Tamandua tetradactyla: one gene and its partner. The protein of the gene in region 1 purifies or fractionates together with the protein of each later gene. This does not show direct contact. Links are inferred from orthologs where the notes say so. Each region holds a gene or a part of one and is shown on either strand. Other genes may lie near its edges.

Region 1 (8,315 bases):
TGAAATCTCTCAGCCACTGAGATTTTATTTTGTCTCATTTTTCTCTTCCCCTTTTTGGTCAAGAAGCCTTTCTCAATTCCATGATGCCAGGTCCCAGCTCAACCCCAGGAGTCACGTTCCACATTGCCAGGGAGATTTACACCCCTGGGAGGCATGTCACATGTAGAAGGGACGGCAGTGAATTGCCCTGACGAGTTGGCTTAAACACAGACCACATCTGGGCAACAAAAGAGGTTCTTTGGGGGTCAGTCTAAGGCATAATTTATAAGTAGGCTTAGCTTCTACCTTGCAGGAATAAGTTTCATAGGGGCAAGCCCCAAGATTAAGGGCTCAGTCTATTAAATTGATTGTCCTCAATGCTTATGAGAATATCAGGAATTCTCCAATTAGGGAAGTTTAGTATTTCCTACTTTTCCCCCAGTCTCCCGAAGGGACTTTGCAAATACTTTTTTATTCTCTGCCCAAATTACTCTGGGTAATGCCCTTTAAAAAGGGGAATTTATTAAGTTGCATGTTTACAGTTCTAAGGCTGTGAAAATGTCCAAACTAAGGCATCCAGGGAAAGATACCTTGATTCAAGAAAGGCCGATGGGTCCAGAATACCTCTGTCCTCTGGAAAGGCAAAGGCAACTCTGCTAGGTTTCTCTTCTCATTTCATATGGTTTCCCTGGGGGCGTTTTCCTGCTGCATCACCAAAGGTCTCTGACTATGAGGGCTCTGCTGGCTCTGAAGCTTTTTCCAAAATGGTTCCCTCTTAAAGGGCTCCAGTAAGCAACACCTCCTTGAATGGGTAGAGACACATTCAAAAGTTACCACCCACAATTGGGTGGGTCCCATCTCCATGGAAACAATAAAAAAAAATCCCATCCAGCAATACTGAATGAGGATTAAAGGACATGGCTTTTCTGGGGTACATAATAGCTTCAAACCAGCACACCATGTAATTATGGTTAGAACAAATTCCTCTTAACTGAGTCTGAGTTAGATTCCCCTGTGGGCTCCAATCCTTCTCTTTTTTACATGTTGTCACATCTGATTCACTCACAAGACCTGTCCTGACCAATACTAACCACCAGCCACAGCTCCATGTAGCTACTTAAATTTAAATTAATTAAAACTAAATAAAATTAAAAATTCAGTTCCTCAGTTTCACTAGCCACATTTCAAGTGTCCAAGAGCCGCATGTGGCTAGTGGCTACCGTATTGGACAGCGCAGATATAGAACATCTCCTTCATCATAGAAAGTTCTATTGGACAGTGCTGCCCTAGATTGGAAGCCCCCTGAAGGCAGGGACTACGTCTGTCTGGTTCAACAGCATATCCCAAACACCCAGCACATTGTCAGGCCCAGCTCTGATGCTAAATAAGTATCAACTGATCGAATGAATGCACACACTTTCGCACCCCGCACCTGGCCCAGCTCTAGTACCTGACTTCTACTGCTCTCCGTGCCTCCAGACCACAGTTTCTAGCCGAGCTTTGATGTAGAACTCTGACCCCAGAACTGATGTCCCTTTCCTCCCTCCAAACCATCCATGGTCAGTGACTGTATCGGGTCCTAGAGGAATAGTAAATGTGTGTGTGTGTGTATGTGTGTGTATGAGGGAAGGGGGGAGCAGAGAAAGGGCTTGGCAGAGGAACATGCAATCAGCTAAGGGGACAGAAGGGTTCTTGGACTCAAGAAGATCAAGTGTGAGCCTCTGACTGGCCGCTCCCACCCATGCAGTGGACTGACACCCAAGCTTTGGTTTGAATTCTGGCTAAGTTTCCTTCTGGCAGTGTGATCTCGGACAAGCTACTTAACCACTATGAACCCATTGCATGCATTGTTTCCTCATTGTAAAATATGGAAAAAAAATAAGATGTCTGAGGTTTAGTTGATACTCAATGATTACTTGTTACTTTCTCCACTTAGAGATCAGTAAAATCTCTTCCTCAACCATCATTCAGATTTTGGCCCTAAAATCTGCATAGTTCCCACTTATCCCACACAGGAGGCCAAATATAACTCCTCACAGCTTCTTTTGCCTTTATGTAAGAGGTTTGTCATCAGTTTCACTGCTGTTATCTCCAAAAACACCTGGTTCAGTTTCTGTCTGCCAGCCAAATTAGTCTGTTTGGCTTTATCTCCCACCTCTTCACGTCATATTACATGCCCGAAATACCCTTCTGAGCCCCTCTTCCTGAAACCCAGGCCTACCCTCTCAGAGACAGATTTTTCATGAGACTCACTTCCTCTCTTAAGCCTGCTTGACTCAAACTTCCCAATTTCAAGATTACTAATCATTCAACAATATTTTATACCTACTTCAGCCTTAATCCACCCCCCTTTCTTCCTCTCTTAGTGACTATGATGTAAGACTGTACCTGGCAGATCTGCACCTGGGCGTCTGTTTCCCTGTGGAAACATACATGTGGGTGTGTATAGAGCTGGTTGCACGAGCAGGTGGTAACCAAAAAAAAAAAAGAAGTGATGAGGTGGCAGAATCAGGCAGCCAAGGGTCTCATTTAGCCACCTACTACATGGGTGGCCCTCAGCAAGTTACTTAGTCTTTCTGAGCCTCAGTTTCCTTCAACGTGTGACATAAAGATTAGGAACCATCATCATCATCATTATTATCACTCTTTTCTGAGCCCTTACTCAGTGATCAGCACTATTCTAAGTGCTTTATATAGATTATATTTTATTTGTTTCCCTTCAACGCTACCAGGTAGGTCATATTATTTTTCCTGTATTAACGTCAAAGAAACTGAGACACCAGAGGCTGAGTTACTTACCCCAGACCACACAGTTAGTAAGCGGCAAAGCCAAGGTTTGCACCCAAGCGGTCTGGTTCCAGGGTCAGTGTTCTTAACCCCTCTGCTTACTTCCTCCCAGGTGGGAGCCTGTGTGTGGACACACCGCATTTCTGTGAAGCTCTTGGCACAGGGCCCAACCCAAAGCTGACAACCAATGAACTGCGCAACTGTTTCCACGCTGAGACTGCAAGTTCACAAGGCTTTCCTCTGTAACTTGTTACAGGGCCTAGGAAAAGACATAGTACATGATGGCCACTTCACACACTTTTCCACAAGCTCAGAGAGGTGTAGAGGAAATACAAATATTTAAAGCCAACTTTCTTACCCAGATGTGAGTTACAAGCATATATGTGTGATGTGGGTACACACTTCTCACAAAGACATCACAGACACACACACACACTGACAGGCATGACTCTTATGAAAGTTCCCCCCAGAAGCCTTCCTTAGCTGGTCTAGGCCATATGGATCTTTCCCATTCCTGAACACTAACAGCCAAGCCAGCCCTCATTATGTGTTGTCTGTTCATTCATTCAATAACTACTGATAACTACCAAGAACTAGGGCTAGATATTGGGGAGGCAAGACCAAAAAACTATAGTTCCTGTCCTTCAGAAATTTTCAATCTAATAGGAGATGCTGGCACACAAACCAAGGCTTACAGAGGGTTCAGGAAAAAAAAAAAAAAACACTTTCTTTAACAGCATGGGTGTAAAGCAATCAAATCAGACTGGGGTATTTTGGAGAATTTCCTGGAGGTGACTGCTGATTTAAATCTTAAAGACAAATAGGAGCTATCCTGGCAAAGGAGTGTGGAGGATGGAGAATAAGAAAAGGGAATAAGTTGACACACTTTTGGGAAACTGCAAGTAGTTCTATGGGACCCAGATGAAGGGTTTTTAACAGGGTCAGCCAAAGGGTGGGCAAGAACCAACTGACAAAAGACCTGATATGCTAAATTGAGAGATTCACACTCTCTCCTGAAAAAGCTGTCAGGAGCCACAGAAGCTTAGATGATGTGACGACTGAATTTGCATTTAAGAAAAACTGATCCAGCAGCATTTCGAAGAATACATTGATAACAGAGGGGACAGGGTGCAGATGGGGGACCACTGAGAAAACTTCCAACAATCTGGAGAAGAAATGAGGAGTCTGAACTCTTCTTAGTGGCAGAAGGAATGGAGAGGGTATATAAGAGATATTAAGGAGAAGTGGGAGAGAATAATGCTACAGCAGGGAATATAAAAGGCCAAAGTTTAGGTGGGAGGGAGGAGGCAAGATGACATCTTTTTGACCTTTGAAATTTCAGTTGTTTCTGGGAAACCCAGGTGATCACGAATTAGATACTGGGTATGTGCACATAGATTCTTTATTTTTCAAGCTTACAAGATATCTGGGTTGGAGATATAAACTTCGGTTTCCTTAGCTCAGAGGTAGTCATTAAAACCCTGAATGTGGAGGAAGTTACCCAGAGAAAGTGTGGGGCCAAACGCCCTGTGGACCAAGCACAATACCGGGGAGCTCCAAGCTGCTGTAGGCTTGGATTTGTTAACATTCCACCGGGGACATTGTGTGAAGTGAGACGGGATTGAGGAAAGAGCTCTGGAGATTACCAACACTTAGGACAAGAGGTGAAGAGATGACAAGAGAGGCAAAAATTTAAGAGGAAAAGCCAGAATAGGGGTGTCAAATAGAAGGAAGTCAGAAACGTCAAATGTGCAGAGATCAAGGAGGTACAGGAAACTCTAGCCGCTAGATTTGGCAATTAGGAAGTGGCCACTAAGGCCACAACAAGGTCAATAGAGCGGTGGGGGGCTGTGTCCCCCCGGTTGCTGGAGATTGCAGTTTGAGTAGCGGACTGAAATTGCTGCCCCTGGGACGGCTTCTACGAGGCTCCCGGATTTAACGAGCGCGCTACAGCCACGCATGCGCACTCTTACTCCCTAGAAGGGCCAAGGACTCGGCATTTGTGCGCATGCGCATGCGCCCTTCGAGCCCGCAGACTCCCCCACCGGCCTCTGAGAGCTGGAGAGGGCGCTAGCCTCAGAGGACCGTAGCGTGACGCCGCTCTAGCTCGCGCCCGGGCTCGGTGGCGGGCGCCGCAGCTCGGCGTTCCGCACGCTTCCTCTTAGCGCAGGTGGGTTCGCCCGCGGGGGCAGGGGGCGTCTGGGAGCTGCGGGGTGGGTGGGTGCTGCAGCCTCCCGGGAGCGGAGTGGTCCCCATCGCCTAAGTGCCGCGGCTCGGGCTCCGATCCCGGCGAATCATACCGAAGGCGGAGCCGCCCGGCTGGAAATTCGGCTCGGGTGGGCGCCTCCTCCTGGATGAGCTATGCCTGTCCCAGGACCCCTTTACGGGCTGGGGGGTCTCCACCCAGGCCCGCGTGCAGCTTCCGGGGACCAGCTGGAGGCGGAGCTAGTGGGGGCGGGGCTCCCGTGATTGACACGCCCTCTCCCGAAGCTTCACGGCGACCACGGGACACCTCCAAGGTCCTGAACACCTGAGCCGGCACCATGGTGAGAATCCTGAGCCCAGCCCCTGACCTCCACATGCCTGTGGCCTTGCCTCGGTCCCCTTGTATGAACCCGGGGCTCCCCAGTGGAAGACTCAGCGGGTTTGCCCCTAAAAGGGCAGCCTGCACCCTTCCAACATGTCCTTCCATTAGCACGGGCGCCTGAAGGTGAAGACGTCGGAAGAGCAGGCCGAAGCCAAAAGGCTAGAGCGGGAGCAGAAGCTGAAGCTGTACCTGTCAGCCACCCAGGCTGTCTTCCAGAAGGTGGGGCCCTGAGACATACTGCCCTTCCCCCCCCCTCCCCCAGACGCTCGCTTAGCAAAGCCCCAAGCCCAACACCTGGTCTCCAGAGTCAGAATGCCTGGATCCACCATATAGTAGCTACGTGACTTTGGACAAGTTACTAAATCTCTTTGAACCTCAGTTTGCTCTTCTGTAAAATGGGGTTAATAAGTGTACTCACTGCATAAGGCTGTTAATGAAGATTAAATGGGAGAATATGCGTAAAGCACTTTGCATATTACGTGCTGTAGAGTGCGGGCTCACAGTATATACTATAGTTCCATTTATGTTACTTTGTCCTGGAGTGGGAGAATGACATGACCCTTGAACCTACTACCTTCCTTCTCAGCGCCAGGCTGGTGAGCTGGATGAGTCAGTGCTGGAACTGACAAGCCAGATTCTGGGAGCCAACCCTGACTTTGCCACCCTCTGGAACTGCCGCCGGGAGGTGCTGCAGCAGTTGGAGGTGCAGAAGTGCGTGCTGGTTCAGGGCCACAGCAAGTCCTCCCCACCCTGACGCTGGCCCTGGCCCTGCCCTGCCCTGTCTGGGTCCAGGGATGGAGGAGGAATAGGGAACCAGGGTGGGCATAGACACTCAGGAGTGAGCTGAATTTGTTGTATGGAAAGGCTCTGACCTCCCACCCCTCTCTGCACAACGCAGGTCCCCTGAGGAGTTTGCCACTCTGGTGAAGGCAGAGCTCGGCTTTCTGGAGAGCTGCCTGCGGGTGAACCCCAAGTCTTACGGCACGTGGCACCATCGCTGCTGGCTGTTGGGCCGCCTCCCTGAGCCCAACTGGGCCCGGGAGCTGGAGCTGTGTGCCCGTTTCCTCGAGGTGGATGAGCGGAACTGTACGTGCCTACAGATTCTGTCCCTACCCTGTCACCTGCCACCCCCATCCTTGTACTGGGACCTCAGTAAGGCCCAGAGTGGGGAGGATATCCAGAATGGGCCCACTGAGCTGATGGCAAAAGGAATGAAAGAGCTTAAATGCCTCCTCCATGGAGTGTGTAGCGGTGTATCTGGGGTTGCCAGCCAGGGAATTCCTCTTGCCCTACTTCTGAGGTGTGTTTCCCTCTCCCACCCCCACCCCCACAAGTTCATTGCTGGGACTACCGGCGATTTGTGGCTGCACAGGCAACTGTGCCCCCTGCGGAGGAGCTAGCCTTCACTGACAGCCTCATTACCCGAAACTTCTCCAACTACTCCTCCTGGCACTATCGCTCCTGCCTTCTGCCTCAGCTGCACCCCCATCCAGACTCGGGGTCACGGGGGCGCCTCCCAGAGGATGTGCTGCTGAAAGGTAAGCAGGGTTTAGGGGGTTCTGGAAAGTACCACAGCAGTCTGTAGGGCCCTTCCGGCTCTGACGTCTGGCCCTGTTCTCGAACCTCTCAGTCGGGTTTATTGTTGCCCACTTCGTGCTGGGCCTGGGGTTCATAAAACTGAGCCTAAAGTATCAGATGGGCAAGATAAAACTTGAATGTAGCCCCTGTGTCAGGCCAGCATAGAATCCCAAACTGAGGGCTGGGGGTACCTAAGGAGAGGGCATGTAGGGTGGGAGCGTTGGAGCCCCGGGGATCCTGCTGGGTCCTGACAGCTCCCATGCCCCCATGTTCCCTTGGCCCCCGCAGAACTGGAGCTGGTGCAGAATGCCTTCTTTACGGACCCGAATGATCAGAGTGCCTGGTTCTATCACCGCTGGCTTCTGGGCCGAGGTGAGTCATGGAGGAAGAGGCTGGGTGTGGGGGGGGCTTGGAAGGAGTGGAACAGGATTTAAGGAGACCTGAGGCTGTGTCTGCCCCCAGCTGACCCCCAGGATGCCCTACACTGCCTGCACGTGAGCCGGGACGAGGCCTGTTTGATCGTCTCCTTCTCGCGGCCCCTCCTGGTGAGTCCTGCTGCTTGTGCGGGGGAGCGTCAGGATGGTGGGCCTGGCGCTCTTGGGACAACTGGGTCACTCTTTGTCCCCAACCAGGTGGACTCCAGGATGGAGACCTTGCTGCTCATGGTTGATGAGTCACCCCTAGCTGTGGAGTGGAGGACCCCAGATGGAAGGAACCGGCCCAGCCATGTCTGGGTATCCAAGGATTGGTGGAAGCAGAAGTGGGAGCTGGGGTGGGGCTAGGGTGGGACAACCAGAAAAGTGATGAGGCAGGACATTTCCTTGACCCATTGCTCCCAGCTCTGTGACCTGCCCACTGCCTCCCTCAACGACCAGTTACCCCAACATACGTTTCGTGTCATTTGGAGGGCAGGTGATGCCCAGAAGGAATGTGTGCTTTTAAAAGGTGATGCAACTTGCAGCTTCCACCACTTAAGCAGCCCCTCATCCCGCTCTTCCTCTCATGAGGGTCCCCTCCTGCCACTTGTACTTTCCCTCAGGCCATCAGGAGGGCTGGTGCCGGGACTCGGCCACAGATGAGCAGCTATTCAGGTAAAGATGGAAACACAGACAAGGAGAGGGGCTCTAGACTCTGGGCTCTAAGCCACTGAGGCAGGAGGGTTGGGGCTGGGAGATGGTCTCAGACTGCATACTGAGGGCTCCCAGTATTCCGAGGCTGTGGACCTCACCTCTCCCCGCAACCCCACTTGCCCTCAGGTGCGAGCTGTCAGCCGAGAAGTCCACAGTGCTCCAGTCGGAGCTCCAGTCCTGTAAGGAGCTGCAGGAGTTGGAACCTGAGAACAAATGTGAGGCCCCAATCCCTGGGAGCCTGCTCCCCAGATCCC
Region 2 (8,449 bases), on another chromosome or scaffold:
AGGCTATTGGTGGGTTGTTTTCAGGTTCCTGAGAACCGGAGAAGCCTAGCGTGGTAGGCGTTGAGAAATATTTATGAATGAATGATTCCATAAGTGAATGAGTAAATGTGTGAACGGACATGATACTTCCAAGCTCGTGGAGGGAGAGCTCTGCAGTTGACTTCCCTCGCTTCTGCCCTACCATGTCGGCGCGCCCCAGTGGCAGCTAGTCCACGCTCGCTGGTGCGCGCTGGAGCCCGGGGGAGGGACCGGCGAAAGGAGGGGGCGTGGTCACGATGACACGCTACGCGAGGGGGCGTGGTCAGGAGGCGCGCCGGGCGGAAGCGGCTGCCTGCCAGTTCCCGCGACGCCTCGCGGTCTCGGCGGCTTCGGATGGCTGCACCCTGAGCCCGAGCTGAGGCCCCACCCAGTGCGGAGGGCGCCGAGGGCTGTGGTGAACGCTGAGCGCCTCCGCCCGCCCAGCGCGCCGGCGCCGGGCCATGTACTCGGGGAACCGAAGCGGCGGCCGAGACTACTGGGAGGTCGGCGGGGGCGCGGGCGCCCAGGGAGCGGGGCCGACGGGGACGCTCAGCCCGGCGCCCCTCTTCAGCCCGGGCACCTACGAGCGCCTGGCGCTCCTGATCGGCTCCATTGGGCTGCTGGGCGCCGGCAACAACCTGCTGGTGCTCATCCTGTACTACAAGTTCCAGCGGCTCCGCACTCCCACCAACCTCTTCCTGGTCAACATCAGCTTCAGCGACCTGCTGGTGTCCCTCTTCGGAGTCACCTTTACGTTCGTATCCTGCCTGAGGAACGGCTGGGTCTGGGACACCGTGGGCTGCGCGTGGGACGGGTTTAGCAGCAGCCTCTTCGGTGAGTTGGGCTGGGAGGAGAAAGCTTTCTCTCCACTGCAAACTTCCCGTTTCCCGCAGTGCCACCACCCCTGCGACAGCTTGCCGCCCAAGCCGCCCCCCGCGCCTTCCCGCTCGCGCTCCCGGCCACCGCCGTGCTCTGTCCCACGCTCCTGTCACGCTGCCACCCCCGGTTGCACGGCGCCCCTTCCTTCCTTGCCTCATCGCTTCCTTCCCTCCCACTGGCCGCGATTCCGATCCCCCAGGTAGACGCTGAACCCCAGCCTGTCTTCACCCGCAGTTGTCCTTTTAACTCCAGTTCCTCCCTAACTCTACTCAGCCCCTGCCCAGGTCATCTCATTTCTCCTTTTTCACCTCCTAATGTAATTCAACAGGTCACGACACAACGGCTTTTACACTTTGAGAAAAGAAACGAGGGGCTGTAGAGACAAGAGAGTCAAGAAAAACAGTGATTAACTTAGCAATGTTGGAGTGGGTGACGGAAAGAAATTTAATGCATACACAGTTTTTTCCCTAAAGTGAGAGATAAGTTACACATTAAAGAGCAATGTGTAAAATTTTTTTTTTTTTTGGTTTTGCTTATTAGCAACTGTAAACCTTTGAATGCTTCTTAGGGAGTGAGCGTTTAATTTAGGTCTTTAGAGTGCAAATTGGCTTGTACCCTATAAGCTACTTTTACTGTATTTTTTTCCTTATAGGTCCTATGAAACCAAAATCTAAGGTGAGATTGCAAATGACTCAGAGAATCTCAACTCAGGTGAACAAGTAATTAGCTGTGCAACCTTTAGATTCATTAAAGCAGAACTTGATTGTTAATTGAAGATTTGGTTCTACAATATTCCCAATCCTTATGGAAGAATTAAGTTTCTCTTGAGAGGAGTCTCAAGCTTGGAAAATAAATTATTTTTTGTGTACTCTAGGAATTTCATTTGTATAAAATTTGAGATAGAGATGTGTACTTCTCAGGTCTTAAATTTCCTTTTGTATGCTGAAATCCATTAGTAATTTATTACTGCTTTTATCTTGCAAGGTTTTGGAGAACATAATCTTTGTAGCATTATCAAAAACATTTTCTTGTTTACCAACCTACTATGCTCTGACAAATTCAATTATGATATTTGTTGTGATTCATTTTTAGGTATTTTTGGGAAACAAAGAAAATATCATAGGGATTATGATTTCATTTATTTGATTGCTTAAATAGTTTTGATACCATTCCCCTGAACTACCACCAAGCTTTAACGTGGGGATTTCATTTGGACATATTTGAAACTTGGAAAGGGAGCTATAAGTGTATGTAGGTGGCACTATAGATGGCTATGCTATTATTTTCTTTATATTAATTTAAAAATACCTATCAGGCAATTTTTAAGGTGAGGCTAAACTTTAAAGAGGGTGATTCAAGTGCAAGCCAATAGTAATAGTACCAAAGATGGGCAACAGGTGTTTGATCATATACATGAAAGTTCTTATTTCCACAAAATACCTTTTCTAGTGCTGGGAAATTCTATTTATATCCCATCTCTATGCTGGGAGTTTAAAAGCAAGGGTATATTGACTTCTTTTTTATTACCATCATCTGTTCTGTTTCCTTACCTCATCCCTCTGCCTGTCCCACCCTCTTCGGTCTCCTTGTCACCTCCTTTTTTTTTCTTTTTCACCTTCCCTGCTTGATTCCATCCCAATCAAAAGTGATTTTCTAATGCTGGAAATGTTTACCACACGGTGTTTTACCTGAAGACTGCTCTGTTTTTCTTGGCATTTAGTTAGTGCTTTCATCCCTGTCTTTATTCCTGTTTTTAAATTAGAGGTAGAAATTCAGGGTAAGAGGTTCTGAGACTTGTTTAAGCCTTGGGAGACAAGTCAGTAATGGGGTTATGATGGAGCTTAAGAAGTTCATAGCAAAAATTAAGAATTTCATTGCGTGGAGTAAAGTCCCAGATTTGTACGTCTAGATTAGGGTTAAAGATGCAGAAAGGGAGGTGCTTCCCTCATTGTTATCCCTGGGCAAGAACTAATCAACCATGGCAGAGGAAATTTTAAAAGCTGGACATTTCTGCTTCATCCAGAGGCATCTGGCCAGTTGGCACAAGAGTAGGTTGCGCTCTTGAATCTGTGACTGACAAATTGTGTGGACTTCCCCAAGTCTGTTAATCTCTACATGTCTATTCTCATCTTTATTATGGAGTAGTTGAGCAAAATGTTCCCTCAGGTTTCACACTATGTTTTTAATGACTCCTTTGCTATCTATAGGTTAGAAGGAACCTGATCTTAGCATTTAGAGCTGTGTCCTCTCTCCTTACTCTGCCCTCAGCCCCTATTTCCTCTAAGCCAAGAATAAGCACATACTATGGTCAGTCTTCTAAAGATAACCTCATGGGTTCTATCTCCCTCTTCACACCTTGCTGGAAGAAGTAAGAATAAATAATTCAGACTTACTTACATAAATGCTTGAGTGGGTCAGGCATTTCTTTCATTCTCTGCTTAATTCCCGATTTCTCAGAAAATACCCCAAATAAATGAAATCCCTACTATTCTTGAGGCAGAAGCTTTGACTAGACAGAACTGTGAGAATTGTCATTTCAGTTAAACTGTCCAGTTCAGTGAACTAATCTATTTAATATAATTCCAGTTGGATGGCTTGTTTTACTTATGTCTAAAATAATTAATCACATTAGCCTAGGCAGGCCCAGCTTGTACTGAGCTAGATTTCAGTTAAGTTAAGCAGAAAGGGAAATCAGAGTTTAAAGAATTCTCACTCTTGCTGTGCAAAGATGACTGATAGTTAGAAGGGCTCCCTAGCAGTGTAGTGTGTGAAGGCAGAATTCACACATAGGTGTGGGAGGTGAAAGGAAAGGGCATATCCAGGTAAGTATACCCTTCAGTACCTCGGCTGTTCACCTCTGGCCACACCTACTTTCAGACTTGCACATGGAATATAACAAGTATTATACCAGAAGTTAACAGGAGAGCCTTTTGTAACTACCACCTTCATGCCTTCAAAACCAAGAACAACAGAAAACAAGTTGGTCTTTCAAGAGAATGTTTAAATAGACCTATTTCTTGGGACACAGAGAGTCAGGGTTGCCGAGACAAAGTCTGACAAGAAGCAGAAATCACTCTCTTTAGTGTTAGAAGCAAGTGTTAAATATGTTAATATATTTTAACATTTGAACCCAGGAATTTTGTAGCTTATTACCTCTATAAAGCACACATGTACTTGTGTACATTGATATAAAGAGTTATAAATAAATATCCCTCCTCAGTAGGTCTATACTTCATATCTCCAGGTTTAAAAAAATGCCAGTGGCTTTGCTGAGTTAATCTTTTGTTAATACACTGACTGGTTAATTCAATAGAAATACTCAAACCCTCATTTTGCTACAAGATCCTAAGGGTGGTTGAGGCCTGAAAAGACCTAATTGGCTGGTGCAGAATCACCTACAGACTGTACTGGTCACGGTCATGATCATGGCAGTAGTCACATAATACATAATCTGTTTCCACAAACACAATGCAGTCAGACATTTCTTTCTTATTTATTTTTTTTTTTTGGAGTCACACATTTCTAAGCTCACAGCTATATATAGTTTTACGTTTTACTCAAATACTAGTTTTATTAAAACCAATGTTATATATTTTATTATGTTAATTCTTTATTTTTGTGGGATAGTATTATGTCCATTCTTGATTATTGAATTGCCTGATTTGGGGAAGTATATCTGTACTGTTCATTTTTTTAAAGAAATAAGAATATATGTAAGTGTGTATTTAATGACTTGGGCTAGCAGAGGTTTTATCCAGGTAACAAGTCAGATTTCAATAGACTATAATTGTTATTACATGAAATTATTTTTCTCTTTTAATGTTTACAATTGTATTCTTTCTTGAATTTTCTTCTTTCAGAGAAGAGTTCCAGTCACAAATGCATATGTGATGCATTTTGACATTTACTGCTAAGATGAAATGCAGAAATGAAAACCACACATCAGTTTTGGTATTCTCAAATGTGATTAGATGTACTTTGTCATGTTTTTATGCTACTGACCTGTAAGAAAAAAATACCCCCCAAAAAAGAGTAGTAGTTAAACAGCTAGGACTGTAACCTCTGCTTCTGGGATAAACTGGAACATCACAAGAAGAGATTTGATCTTGGCATACTCATACCTCAGCTGAGCCCACAGCCTAGATTCATAAACATTTCCTTCATCGGCAGTTGTCAGCAGGTGCTTTAGTTCCCAGAATGGCGGACAATCTCCCTACAGAGTTTGATGTGGTTATAATAGGGACAGGTTTGCCTGAATCCATCCTTGCAGCTGCATGTTCAAGGAGTGGTCAGAGGGTTCTGCATGTTGATTCACGAAGTTATTATGGAGGAAACTGGGCTAGTTTCAGCTTTTCAGGATTGTTATCCTGGTTGAAAGAATATCAGCAAAACAGTGATGATTCAGAAGAAAGAACAGCTGCATGGCAAGACCTGATCCATGAAACCGAAGAAGCCATTACTCTTCGCAAAAAGGATGCAACCATTCAACACATAGAAGTTTTTTGTTATGCCAATCAGGATTTGGATGACAATGTTGAAGAAATTGGTGCCCTGCAGAAAAATCCTTCCTCAGTGGCATCTAGTACTCTCACTGAACCTCTGGATTCTGCATGTGTACCCAAAGAAAGCCACTTATGCAATACTAACTATGAAATGCCTGCCAAAGACACTCCAAAAAGTGATAAAGGGGTTTCACTAGAAGTAAATGATGTAGAGGAAATTCTGGAGAAGGAAAATGATTGTGGAGATAAAACTTTTCACACAGTTTTAGATGGAGGTAAAGATGAAAGCAAACCTATGGTAGAAGACAACACTGATCAACCAAAGAAAAATAGGGTTACTTACTCTCAAATAGTTAAAGAAGGCAGAAGATTTAATATTGATTTGGTATCAAAGCTGCTGTTTTCTCAAGGATTGCTAATTGATCTTTTAATCAAATCAAATGTAAGTCGATATGCAGAATTTAAAAATGTCACTAGGATTCTTGCATTTCGGGAAGGAAAAGTAGAACAGGTGCCTTGTTCCAGAGCAGATGTCTTTAATAGCAAAGAACTCACAATGGTTGAAAAGAGAATGCTAATGAAATTTCTTACATTTTGTATAGACTACGAACAACATCCTGATGAATACCAAGCTTTCACGCAGTGTTCGTTTTCAGAGTACTTAAAAACTAAAAAACTAACTCCCAACCTCCAGCATTTTGTACTGCACTCAATTGCAATGACATCACAGTCATCTTGCACTACGTTAGATGGCCTTAAAGCAACAAAAAACTTCCTGCAGTGTCTGGGACGGTTCGGCAACACACCTTTTTTATTTCCCTTGTATGGCCAAGGAGAAATTCCCCAGTGTTTCTGCAGGATGTGTGCAGTTTTTGGTGGAATCTATTGTCTCCGCCATAAAGTACAATGCCTTGTAGTTGACAAAGATTCTGGAAGATGTAAAGCAGTTATAGATCACTTTGGTCAAAGAATAAATGCTAAATATTTTATTGTGGAGGACAGTTACCTTTCTGAGGAAACATGCTCAAATGTGCAGTATAAGCAGATCTCCAGGGCAGTGCTCATTACAGATCAGTCTATACTAAAGACAGATTCAGATCAGCAGATTTCCATTTTGATAGTGCCTCCAGCAGAACCAGAAAGTTGTGCCATTCGGGTGACTGAATTATGTTCTTCAACCATGACATGCATGAAAGATACCTATCTGGTACATCTGACATGTCCATCTTCTAAAACAGCGAGAGAAGACTTAGAAGAATCAGTGGTGAAGAAATTATTCACTCCATATGATGAAACAGAAATAGATAAGGAAGGACTAACAAAGCCAAGACTCTTGTGGGCTCTTTATTATAACATGAGAGATTCTTCTGAAATAGGCAGAAGCTCATATAATGGCTTACCTTCCAATGTTTATATCTGCTCTGGGCCTGACTGTGGTCTGGGAAATGAGCATGCAGTCAAGCAAGCTGAGACACTTTTCCGGGAGATCTTTCCAGATGAAGAATTCTGCCCCCCACCTCCAAATCCAGAAGACATTATCTTTGATGGTGATGATAAGCAGTCAGAGGCTCCTGGAACCAATAATATAGTAATGGCCAAAGTAGAATCCACTGAAGAAATAAAAAACCTAGAAAACCCAGGGAAGCACCTTTAAAATTAGAAAAAGCAAACTGGAAATTCCATTTTGGACCTTCATCCTGGCATCAGAACATTCTCATTTAAAGGACATATTAGAAGTGGTTATATGATAAATGCTATGTTTGCAGATGTTGCTGTTAAATTTGAGACATTCAGTGTTTGGAAGCCTTTGTTAATCTTTCAGTAACTGATTTATTACTTATTGGACATTTTTTTGGCTGCCAGATAGACTCCCTGATCCAAAACCTTAAACTGCATTTGCTTTATTTTGGAATTAGGTACATATGTGAGGTTTCATTACTAGGAACTCTGCTTAAAGGAAGGTAATTTGTATCTGCTGATCTTTAGATTTTACCATTGTTTACAAAACAGTATCTAAGAAATAGTATAAATACTTTTGTAGCTGTTATAAGTTTCTGTCTCCTCTGCTTTCCGAGGAGATCTGTTTGAATAGTGAAACACAAAGTAAATTATATGGTTTTTTTGTAATATAACATGTAGGCATGATGATGGCATTGCAAGTAATACAAGTGCCAATATGATAAAATATATTTAACTACGATTGTGAGAAAGATTAGCTTGGTTTGATCCTTTATTCTTTGTGGAGGTCTGATGTTTGAAATACGTCTTACAAATACATCAGCCTGACCCATATAAACAACTGGGGCAGTGAATGATAACACCACAGGCTTCTACATTACAAAAAAAGTTGGAGAGTTCAGTTCTTAGTTTAAGAACTAATTCTTGGGAGGTTCATTTCACAGAGAATTTAGTGAATAATTCAAGATTGATCTGGTTGAATACTTTAAGAAAATTTCTGTAGAGCCCTGCTCGAGTAGGAAATTCAGTAGCGATGAACCCAAAAGAAAAGAATTTCTAACAAGTTAACTCAGACCAAGAGAAAAATTGCCCCGGGAAAAGATGTTTCAGAGTAGTTATTCTGAAATTCCTAAGGAGAAACTCTGAGATGATTTTAAAACTATCTGTAAATAGATTTACCTGAGGTATCTTAATGAGGATGAACTAGCCATCATGTTGTCTTTGCTACTTTAATGAGCAACACTACTAACTGTTAGCAGTGAATCAGAGGAGTATTTAACATGCATGCCCCTTTGGTTGTATCCCATCACTCAGATGTAATGAGGTAACGTACCTTTCTAATCAGTTCTGCCTTCTTTTTGTAATCTAGAAGATGGAAACATGTTTCTTTTCCAGAACCACCAGAAGTCACAAAACTGGTTGCACTCCAGTAGTGAAAAAATGTGGAGATATCAGAAGAGGTGAACCTCCTCTTTTAATCTCCCATTTCCATTCCTTGGGCAGAGCCGGATAATCCTTTAGGAAGTAAGCTGGCAATGACAAGTTTTGCTTTGGCACAAAGCATTTATTGTTGTGCTAGGCACTTAATATTG

What was found.
Region 2: the proteins of RABGGTA (region 1) and CHML purify together in Homo sapiens (co-immunoprecipitation; 3 studies listed by BioGRID and IntAct, counting the BioPlex papers as one, with this or other methods). This does not show direct contact. The link is inferred for Tamandua tetradactyla from reciprocal best matches to the Homo sapiens genes RABGGTA and CHML.

What each region holds. Positions count from the first base shown.
Region 1 is NC_135340.1:30,536,314-30,544,628, forward strand, and holds the start of RABGGTA (geranylgeranyl transferase type-2 subunit alpha), read left to right. Parts: upstream 1-4,788; 5' UTR 4,789-4,936; intron 4,937-4,968; exon of another isoform or gene 4,969-5,256; 5' UTR 5,257-5,309; coding exon 5,310-5,312; intron 5,313-5,461; coding exon 5,462-5,572; intron 5,573-5,939; coding exon 5,940-6,064; intron 6,065-6,251; coding exon 6,252-6,439; intron 6,440-6,687; coding exon 6,688-6,891; intron 6,892-7,219; coding exon 7,220-7,303; intron 7,304-7,393; coding exon 7,394-7,476; intron 7,477-7,563; coding exon 7,564-7,665; intron 7,666-7,770; coding exon 7,771-7,876; intron 7,877-7,970; coding exon 7,971-8,022; intron 8,023-8,187; coding exon 8,188-8,276; intron 8,277-8,315. UniProt on the Homo sapiens protein: Catalyzes the transfer of a geranylgeranyl moiety from geranylgeranyl diphosphate to both cysteines of Rab proteins with the C-terminal sequence -XXCC, -XCXC and -CCXX, such as RAB1A, RAB3A, RAB5A and RAB7A.
Region 2 is NC_135333.1:12,777,561-12,786,009, reverse strand, and holds CHML (rab proteins geranylgeranyltransferase component A 2), read left to right. Parts: upstream 1-4,823; 5' UTR 4,824-5,094; coding exon 5,095-7,053; 3' UTR 7,054-7,724; downstream 7,725-8,449. Other genes in the region: OPN3 (opsin-3), read left to right, coding at 480-852. UniProt on the Homo sapiens protein: Substrate-binding subunit (component A) of the Rab geranylgeranyltransferase (GGTase) complex. Binds unprenylated Rab proteins and presents the substrate peptide to the catalytic component B.